2 linked regions of the Arabidopsis thaliana genome follow. The protein of the gene in region 1 purifies or fractionates together with the protein of each later gene. This does not show direct contact. Each region holds a gene or a part of one and is shown on either strand. Other genes may lie near its edges.

The links.
Region 2: the proteins of AT4G26230 (region 1) and AT2G43460 fractionate together in Arabidopsis thaliana (co-fractionation; one large-scale study listed by BioGRID). This does not show direct contact.

What each region holds. Positions count from the first base shown.
Region 1 is NC_003075.7:13,284,131-13,287,616, reverse strand, and holds AT4G26230 (Ribosomal protein L31e family protein), read right to left. Parts: upstream 1,881-3,486; 5' UTR 1,743-1,880; intron 1,618-1,742; 5' UTR 1,592-1,617; coding exon 1,512-1,591; intron 1,344-1,511; coding exon 1,064-1,343; 3' UTR 826-1,063; downstream 1-825. Other genes in the region: AT4G26240 (histone-lysine N-methyltransferase), read left to right, coding at 15-150, 353-403, 507-606; AT4G26220 (S-adenosyl-L-methionine-dependent methyltransferases superfamily protein), read right to left, coding at 2,471-2,761, 2,848-2,979, 3,086-3,310, 3,388-3,438.
Region 2 is NC_003071.7:18,045,323-18,049,243, reverse strand, and holds AT2G43460 (Ribosomal L38e protein family), read left to right. Parts: upstream 1-1,842; 5' UTR 1,843-1,951; coding exon 1,952-1,954; intron 1,955-2,318; coding exon 2,319-2,502; intron 2,503-2,936; coding exon 2,937-2,959; 3' UTR 2,960-3,279; downstream 3,280-3,921. Other genes in the region: AT2G43465 (RNA-binding ASCH domain protein), read left to right, coding at 22-82, 180-228, 306-363, 447-534, 602-720, 809-934, 1,050-1,143, 1,212-1,366 and 1 more.

The sequences.
Region 1 (3,486 bases):
GATTTTTGGATCAGAGTGGATCGCTATCATGGCTTGCTCCCTCTCCATTGTCGGGCTACGAGATAAGAAGAATGATCATAGACGATGGTTCTGGTACTCTTGTGTTGTTGGATCTGCATTGACCATCTTTTGGCTTTATTACTTGCTGAGGTACACTAGAGAGTATACATTTCTTTTCTTTTCGATACAATCTTGCACTTCGCAAACTTTCATTATTATAATGCCATTGTTAGTGGCATGAATCCTTGTGTTAGTCGTTTATGCTGTATTCAACATGAAGGACATTTCTTGTCTATTCCTTCCATTCGTGCTCTTTGTAAATTTATGCTTATAAATCTCACCCGTGTTCTAGGCTTCCGAAATTCCGGTGGGATGCTATCTGGCTTCCGTTTGGGCCGCTTTGGTATGTGTATCTATCGCTTAGATATAACCTTGTGTTGTTTTATATGCCCCTGTGTATGTAAAACTAAAGTTTGCATCAACTTTTCTGTACTTCGAAATTGCAGTGGAGCTGGAATTTGTCTATACGTGGACCATCTTCTAGAGGAGTCATCTGAGGAAGTGAAAAAACTGAGGAACTATATGTATGCATATAAAGCACGGTAGAGAGATAATAGCTACTTTCAAACCTCGTCAGAGTGAATTTGTGATAGCAAGAGTGCAAGTTTTGACTCTATTATCCCCTAAAGAACATTCTTCTGTTGTTGTAAATAGATACGAAACTCTGAAGTTCGTTTTGTTTAAAAACTCATGATTGACTCGAACTAGATTCCAGTTCATACATGTAATACTCTTGATTTATTCAAGCAATTCACTTGAGAGAGGTGCATAAACTTATTCATAGCTGCAGATATTATCATGATCGAACCAGATGCTCAAACTTTACCGAAACAAGTGTAAGGATTGTTGAAGACTACTTACGACACAAGACTGAGATTCTGTCTCAATCGCATACTATGATTCAAGGCTTAAGGATTCAAGAAGATAAATGTTCTCTCCAATAAAGATTCGAAAAACAAAACTCGAAAAATCTGATCAAATGTTGTTGTTACTATAAGATAGTTTAATCCTCTTCTTCAATGATCTTAGTGCCGAGGCCAGAGAGTCCTTCAGCAGGGATTTCAGCAACAGTGACAAGAGAGAAGAACTCTTCCTTTGCATCTTCATCATCATTTCTCTTACGAGCAACTCGGACTCTGATTCTCCTCGGAGGACCTCTGATACCTTTGCTCCAAATCTGCTTGTTCAATTTAACATCCACTCTCACATCCTTTGTCCCCATTTCCTTCTCAGCAAACTTCCTTATCTCCTTGATCGCCTTTGGAGCCTTCTTCTTAAAGGTACTAGTTTTACACACAAAGAAGATCAAACATTTCAATGTCACAATCCATAGAGAGCAATCGAATTAAAACATTAGCTAAGAGCTCATTATCAACATTCCAATTCCACTATCTAACAGTAAAAGCTTTGAAGCAATAAGACAAAAGTGTTTTTGGTGTTTTGGAAATTACCAGCTATGAAGGCGTCTGTGAAGGTTGATGGTGTACTCTCTGGTCACCACCTCCTCTTTCCTTCCCTTCTTCTCCGACATTTTATGTTTCTATCTTCTCTCTTTACCTGAATATATCAAAACTCAAATTCAGTTTTGACATATGATCTTAAAGACGAGATTAGCTCATTTTACTTTGTCACAAATTTTAAAAAAGGAGATTAAGATAAGAAAGAGAAAGGGATGAGAGTACCTTCTTCTCTCCACAAATGCCGAAATACAGAGCCGGTGGTGACGGAGAAGGATGAAGCTTATATGCGGCGCTCTATAAGAAGAAGAACTAACCCTAGTTGATTTTATGGGCCTTTCATCTACTAGACCTATATTTTTATGGCCCAACTAAGTGTTTCTTAACTCAAAAAAAAAAAAAAGAGTTCCTTTATATTGTGATTAACGTCTAACGATTTTTAACATTTGATAATTTAACTTTGGATAGTTTTTTTCTTATTTTTGAACAAACGTTGGATTTTTTAACTTTGGGTGAAAATATCTTGTTCTGTTTACTGTTTATATCACAAAACTAAATTATTTAATATACATTGTATTAAAAGCTAGCAAACTATATATCAATGTGGGCGTTTGGTCTAGTGGTATGATTCTCGCTTTGGGTGCGAGAGGTCCCGAGTTCGATTCTCGGAACGCCCCATTCATTTTTTTACTTTTTATATTAGATTTTAGAGCAATGTTCAGAATTTGGAGTTTTGCCAAAAGACACAAAACATAAAATGAGTTGTGTTTCTTCGTAACTGTCTGTTATAATCTTGAAATTTGAAGAAATCCACAAACTTGATAGAAAAGGTTCACATTCACACAGGAACCAAAATATCACATAGAACAATAACACTCTTGCATCACAATAGCTCAATATAAAGGGCTCACAATCATATGACCCTAAAGATCACAAAGAACAACAATACTCGCTCAATATAACCTCCTGCAAATAGTGATACCATCGCCAAGCGCAGCTTGCGAGATCTGCACACGCTGATCAGCCGAGAGTTTCTTGTTCAGCTCGAGGGTTGCTTTCTTGACTTCTATCCTCCACTCGGGCGTGGACGAGTCCGGTTCAGCAACTGATCCTCCCCAGAGAGTGTTATCATACACTATGATCCCACCAACCTTGATCAATCTAATAAGCCTCTCATGATAGTTCCAATAATTCAGCTTGTCTGCATCCACAAATGCGAAGTCGAATCCACCCTCATTCACTTTCTGCATCACAAACATCAAAACAAAAAGACCATCTCAGGATACATACTAATTCTTTTTTTGAAAGACAAAGAAGTATGAAGTTGTACATTGTTTAAAAGCTCGTCGAGGGCTGGAAGAGCTTCAGACTCTTTGAAATCAATTTTGTGTTCAACACCAGCTTTCTTTATAACCGGCAATCCTATTTCATACGAGTCTCTATTCATGTCAATGGCGATAACCTGCAGAGCTCGTGTACCAAATCAGTTGCAGAAATGATACAGAAGCAAAACAACGAAAAACATCATGACACTTTTTCTTTTGGTTTGGTCATATCTATGCAAATACCTTGCCATCTTCTGGTAGCGTAAGAGCAGTGAGGAGAAGAGAGTATCCAGTGAAAACCCCAACCTCGATAGTCTTTCTTGCATTTACCAGATTCAGCAGCATCCCCATCAACTGGCCAGCGTCTGGTGCAGTAGCCATACCAGCTTGAGGGTGGTTATGAGTAATGTTCCTAAGCTCCCTGAGAACCTCTGGCTCGCGTGGGTACACACTAGTCTCCAGTATATACTACAACATTTTTCACAGAAATGTATCAGAGAAATGGAGAAGTGAACTAACGTAGAGATGAGTATGTAAGGACAAACTTTATAGAGCTCTTCACTTTTCAGCAATCCCTTGGCTTCATCCTTAGCCATTGTGTCTCACAATCTTCGTTCCTCAAACACTGTAAAGTCTCTGCTCAA
Region 2 (3,921 bases), on another chromosome or scaffold:
CACTTTGCAATATTCTAACAGGCCTTGAAGGATGTATTTTCCGAGCTTCAAGTTCAAGAGCCCTTATTCTCCCTCATGAAAGGTTAAAACTTCCTCTTTTTAGCTTGGCAATGTCAATATCAAGTGGTAAGAGTTCTTGATCAGATTTTTGGGTTGCTTAATTTAAATGGATATATTAGATGGCATCAAAACAGTTGAAGCAAGGTGTTTTGAAGAAGAGTATGATAGGTAGGAGAAGTGAAAAGTTATTGAGCTGGATTACTTCTGTGTCTCTTGTGTTCACAAATGTTGTTTGGTTTCCTCAGAATTCGGAGAGGAGGTTCAATGGTTATGATAAATAAATGTCTAATGTTTGAAGTTCTGGTGAGATATATTTGCCGACATCATGCTTTTGTGTTCCTGCAAACGATTTCTTGTGATTGATTCTCTTAAATGTTGATATATAGGAACTTCACCAATATGCATCCTTTTACGAGCTGTTGAAAGCCGAGAGTTCAGAGAAAGTGTTTCCTGGCACTAAAACAGTGGAAGAAGGTAAGCTTTTTTCTTTGTCTGATCCTTAGCCATTAACTTCTGTTTCAAAGATTTCAAATTTTTTTAGGTATGCAAATGTTTAGGAAGTTATATGATACGGATCAAGAGAATTTCAATGGTGTTGTGGCAATCCATCTTAGTAAATCAGTTGCTCAGCCTTGTGTTGCTTTGGCTCACATACTGTCTGTGAGTTCAAGTTTTTCTCAGCCTTCTCCTTGTGATTTATGATTCTTATTATTCAATGTTTCTTACAAAAACATCATTTAAATGGCAGGGCTTGAGTTACACTGGCGTGCAAAACCTTCTCGGTCTATCTCACACAACTGGATCCATTTTTCATGCTCTGCCTCCTCCTAGATCGATGCTACTCTCTTCATTCATGCTTCCATATAAGCCAAAGGTACCACAAAAACTAAGATATAGTTCGAGAGACATCGTAGTGAATCTTTTGGGGAATGGTTAAGCTGTGTTGTGTGAGATCAAATTTAGAATCTTTCTTTTTTCCTATTGTTGAGATAAAAGGTTGTAGATTGAGCCATGGAGCTAGAGCATTAGCCAAGCATGTTGATCGAAGTAGCGATGGATTTTGGGGTGTTCTTCAGGGAACTGGTAAGTAACAAATTTTTGCAGGACACTGATGCATTTCCATAATTGAGTCTTCCTCTTCCTTTTCTCAGATTCAGATAAAAATGAGCGTGCAATGGACATAATCAATCGGTTCATTGGCAATTGTTGTTGGATGAACATACATATCGTTCCACCACATGGTGAAGTGTTCGAGATAAGAGTAGCTCAAGGCTATGGAGCACGTTGGTCTCGAGATGGAACCAAAGTATGTATATTTTGAGACTTGAAGTATGTATCTTTCAGACGTGTCTGATCATCAATTGTTTTGTTGCTGTTTATTTTTATTGGCAGTTCATTGGATTTCTTGAGCCTTACATGGAGGATGGTCACTCCATGGCCTGGAAGCATTAAGACCGCACCTGTAAACATCTCTGTGTCTTTAGGACTTTGTGAACTTTCTCTTGTAGTTGAATCGTTTTTTCTTTCAACAAGTGTAAATTTGTAACGCTTCTTTTCTTGTGACAAAAAAAATCAAATTTTTTTTTTTTCTAAGAAGGATTTTGTGGTTGATCTTGTTATGATTAGGGTATGAAAAGAAAATATGAGGACCAAAGTGTTAAGACAAACTGTAAATTGGGCAAAACTGTGAAGGGACATTAAAGCGATATATGATTGGGCCTTAAAGCCCATTGTTTGATAAATCGTCCAGAGGGTAAATATGGAATTTCAGGTTTACGAATTAGGGCTTCTTGATACAAAGTTTTTAAGAGATCTCTTTATATCCTCGCGACGGCGAATTCGCTCGACTCTCTCTGTGGACGGCGGCTAGTTTCAACCAACAGATTCGAGAATGGTACAATATTTCTCGGTCTTTCGATTTCGTTTCATATCGCCGTCATGGATGCTTATGATTTGGTTTTCATAGCTCGTTTGCAATCATTCATAGTGTAGTAGAGCTGTTCCTGTATCTTAAGAGTTTTCTCAAAAAATGTAGATTTTTGTATCATTTTCAGCTTTGATTATTGCTTCTTACTTTGTTTAGGATATAGTGAAACGTGTAGGTTTTAGTGAATTAACCAAAAACCTAGGTCAGAGTTTGCTTAATGTGTTTGATGTGCTGAGCTCGTGTCTGCTTATCATGTGATTAACTTTTGATTGGTTGGGATTATTGAATCTTGTATTGAATTTTGATTGATTAATTTGATTAATGTTTGCAGCCTAAGCAAATCCACGAGATCAAGGACTTCCTTCTGACAGCTAGAAGGAAAGATGCACGATCTGTGAAGATCAAGAGAAGCAAGGATATTGTCAAGTTTAAGGTCAGATGCTCGAGGTACCTCTACACGCTCTGCGTCTTTGACCAAGAGAAAGCCGACAAGCTTAAGCAGTCTCTTCCTCCAGGTTTTTTATTCTTCTTAACTCTGCTCAATTTACATTGTTCTCTACTACACTGCATAAATTCTCACACTTTAGATCATTTTAAAACCTTGATGAAATTTGAGTTTGGCATATGGGTTCGAAACAACCTGTCTTTGCTTAATTACATTGCGTGTGTATTGCAACATTCAACATTATTGGATTCATTATGTTATATGGACTTTAAATATAGCTGTGCCTTGAGTTTCATTGTTTGAATTTTGCTAAGTATTTATGTACGTTAAAGTAAGCTTCTTCATCACACAATTTCCGTTGTAAATTTTTCTGAGTTTGGCATTTGATTGCTAAACCCAGCTTTGCTTTGGCTTTAGTATGTTACTATGTTTTTGAAAAGTATCTTCATTCTCATATCTGTTGTACGCGTGTTCTGAGGTGTGGACTATGTTGCACTTTTTCAGGTTTGAGTGTACAAGACCTTTGAAGATGAAGCAAAGTTCTTCTGCAGATTGGAGTTCCTTTGGTGACGAATCCTTTGCATCATTTTATAATTTCCTTAGGAGAGTTTATTTTGTGTCGTTAAATTTATGTTGAGACTTTTCGAGTTTGAGTGTGTTTTGGATTTAATTCAGTTTGAAAAACCAAATACGTTCTCAACTCTGGATTCAATTTGGATTTTTATTTTCAGACTTGAGAGTTGGTACCTTCTCCATCATTTATAATAACAATCACATTCATTAAATGAATCATAACCAAATTACTCCTTGATCTTAGCACTAACTACGATTTTAGGTTATATACTTTTCGACATATCATTTGAATTATAGCATAATAGTCTCAAAACATGTAAAAACCTCATGATAGCACCAAATTTGCAGTATCATGCTTGAGGTGTTGTTGTTATTCGAAACAATCAAATCCATGGGGACCAGGCCCAATTGGAGCTTGGGCTTTTTGGTATATATATTTGTTGGCCTTTGGTGAATCTTCCTTGATCTTAACATTTTCTCTCTATGCGGTTCTCTGTTCTCTTGTTAATTACTTGTTGTTTCCGTAATGGGCCCAAACGCCTTTAAAAGTCAAATTTATTGCTTCAGAGTTGAAAAAATTCAAAAATCAGATTAGTTTGCACACAAATCATCGCGCCGAGAAGCAGAGGTTAGTTATGAGTCTTAGTTATGGAGTCGCAATTCTAAATCTCCATTTTCCGGGAAAACGCGAGAAACTTTTGTTTTCTTTGAATTTGCTCTCAATTTGGAAACTTATTCTTCTATGATCTTCGGTTACTTAGTTATAGAGTTTCAGTGTAAAATACTCTTGATTCTTTTTCCTCATTATCGCTTGATTGTTCGTTTTTTGATTATTTTCCGGGAAAATCTTTCTCGGGAAATTTTGTTCGACGCTTTGATTTTTCTCATAGTTTGGAATCGGATTCTTTCATGGTCT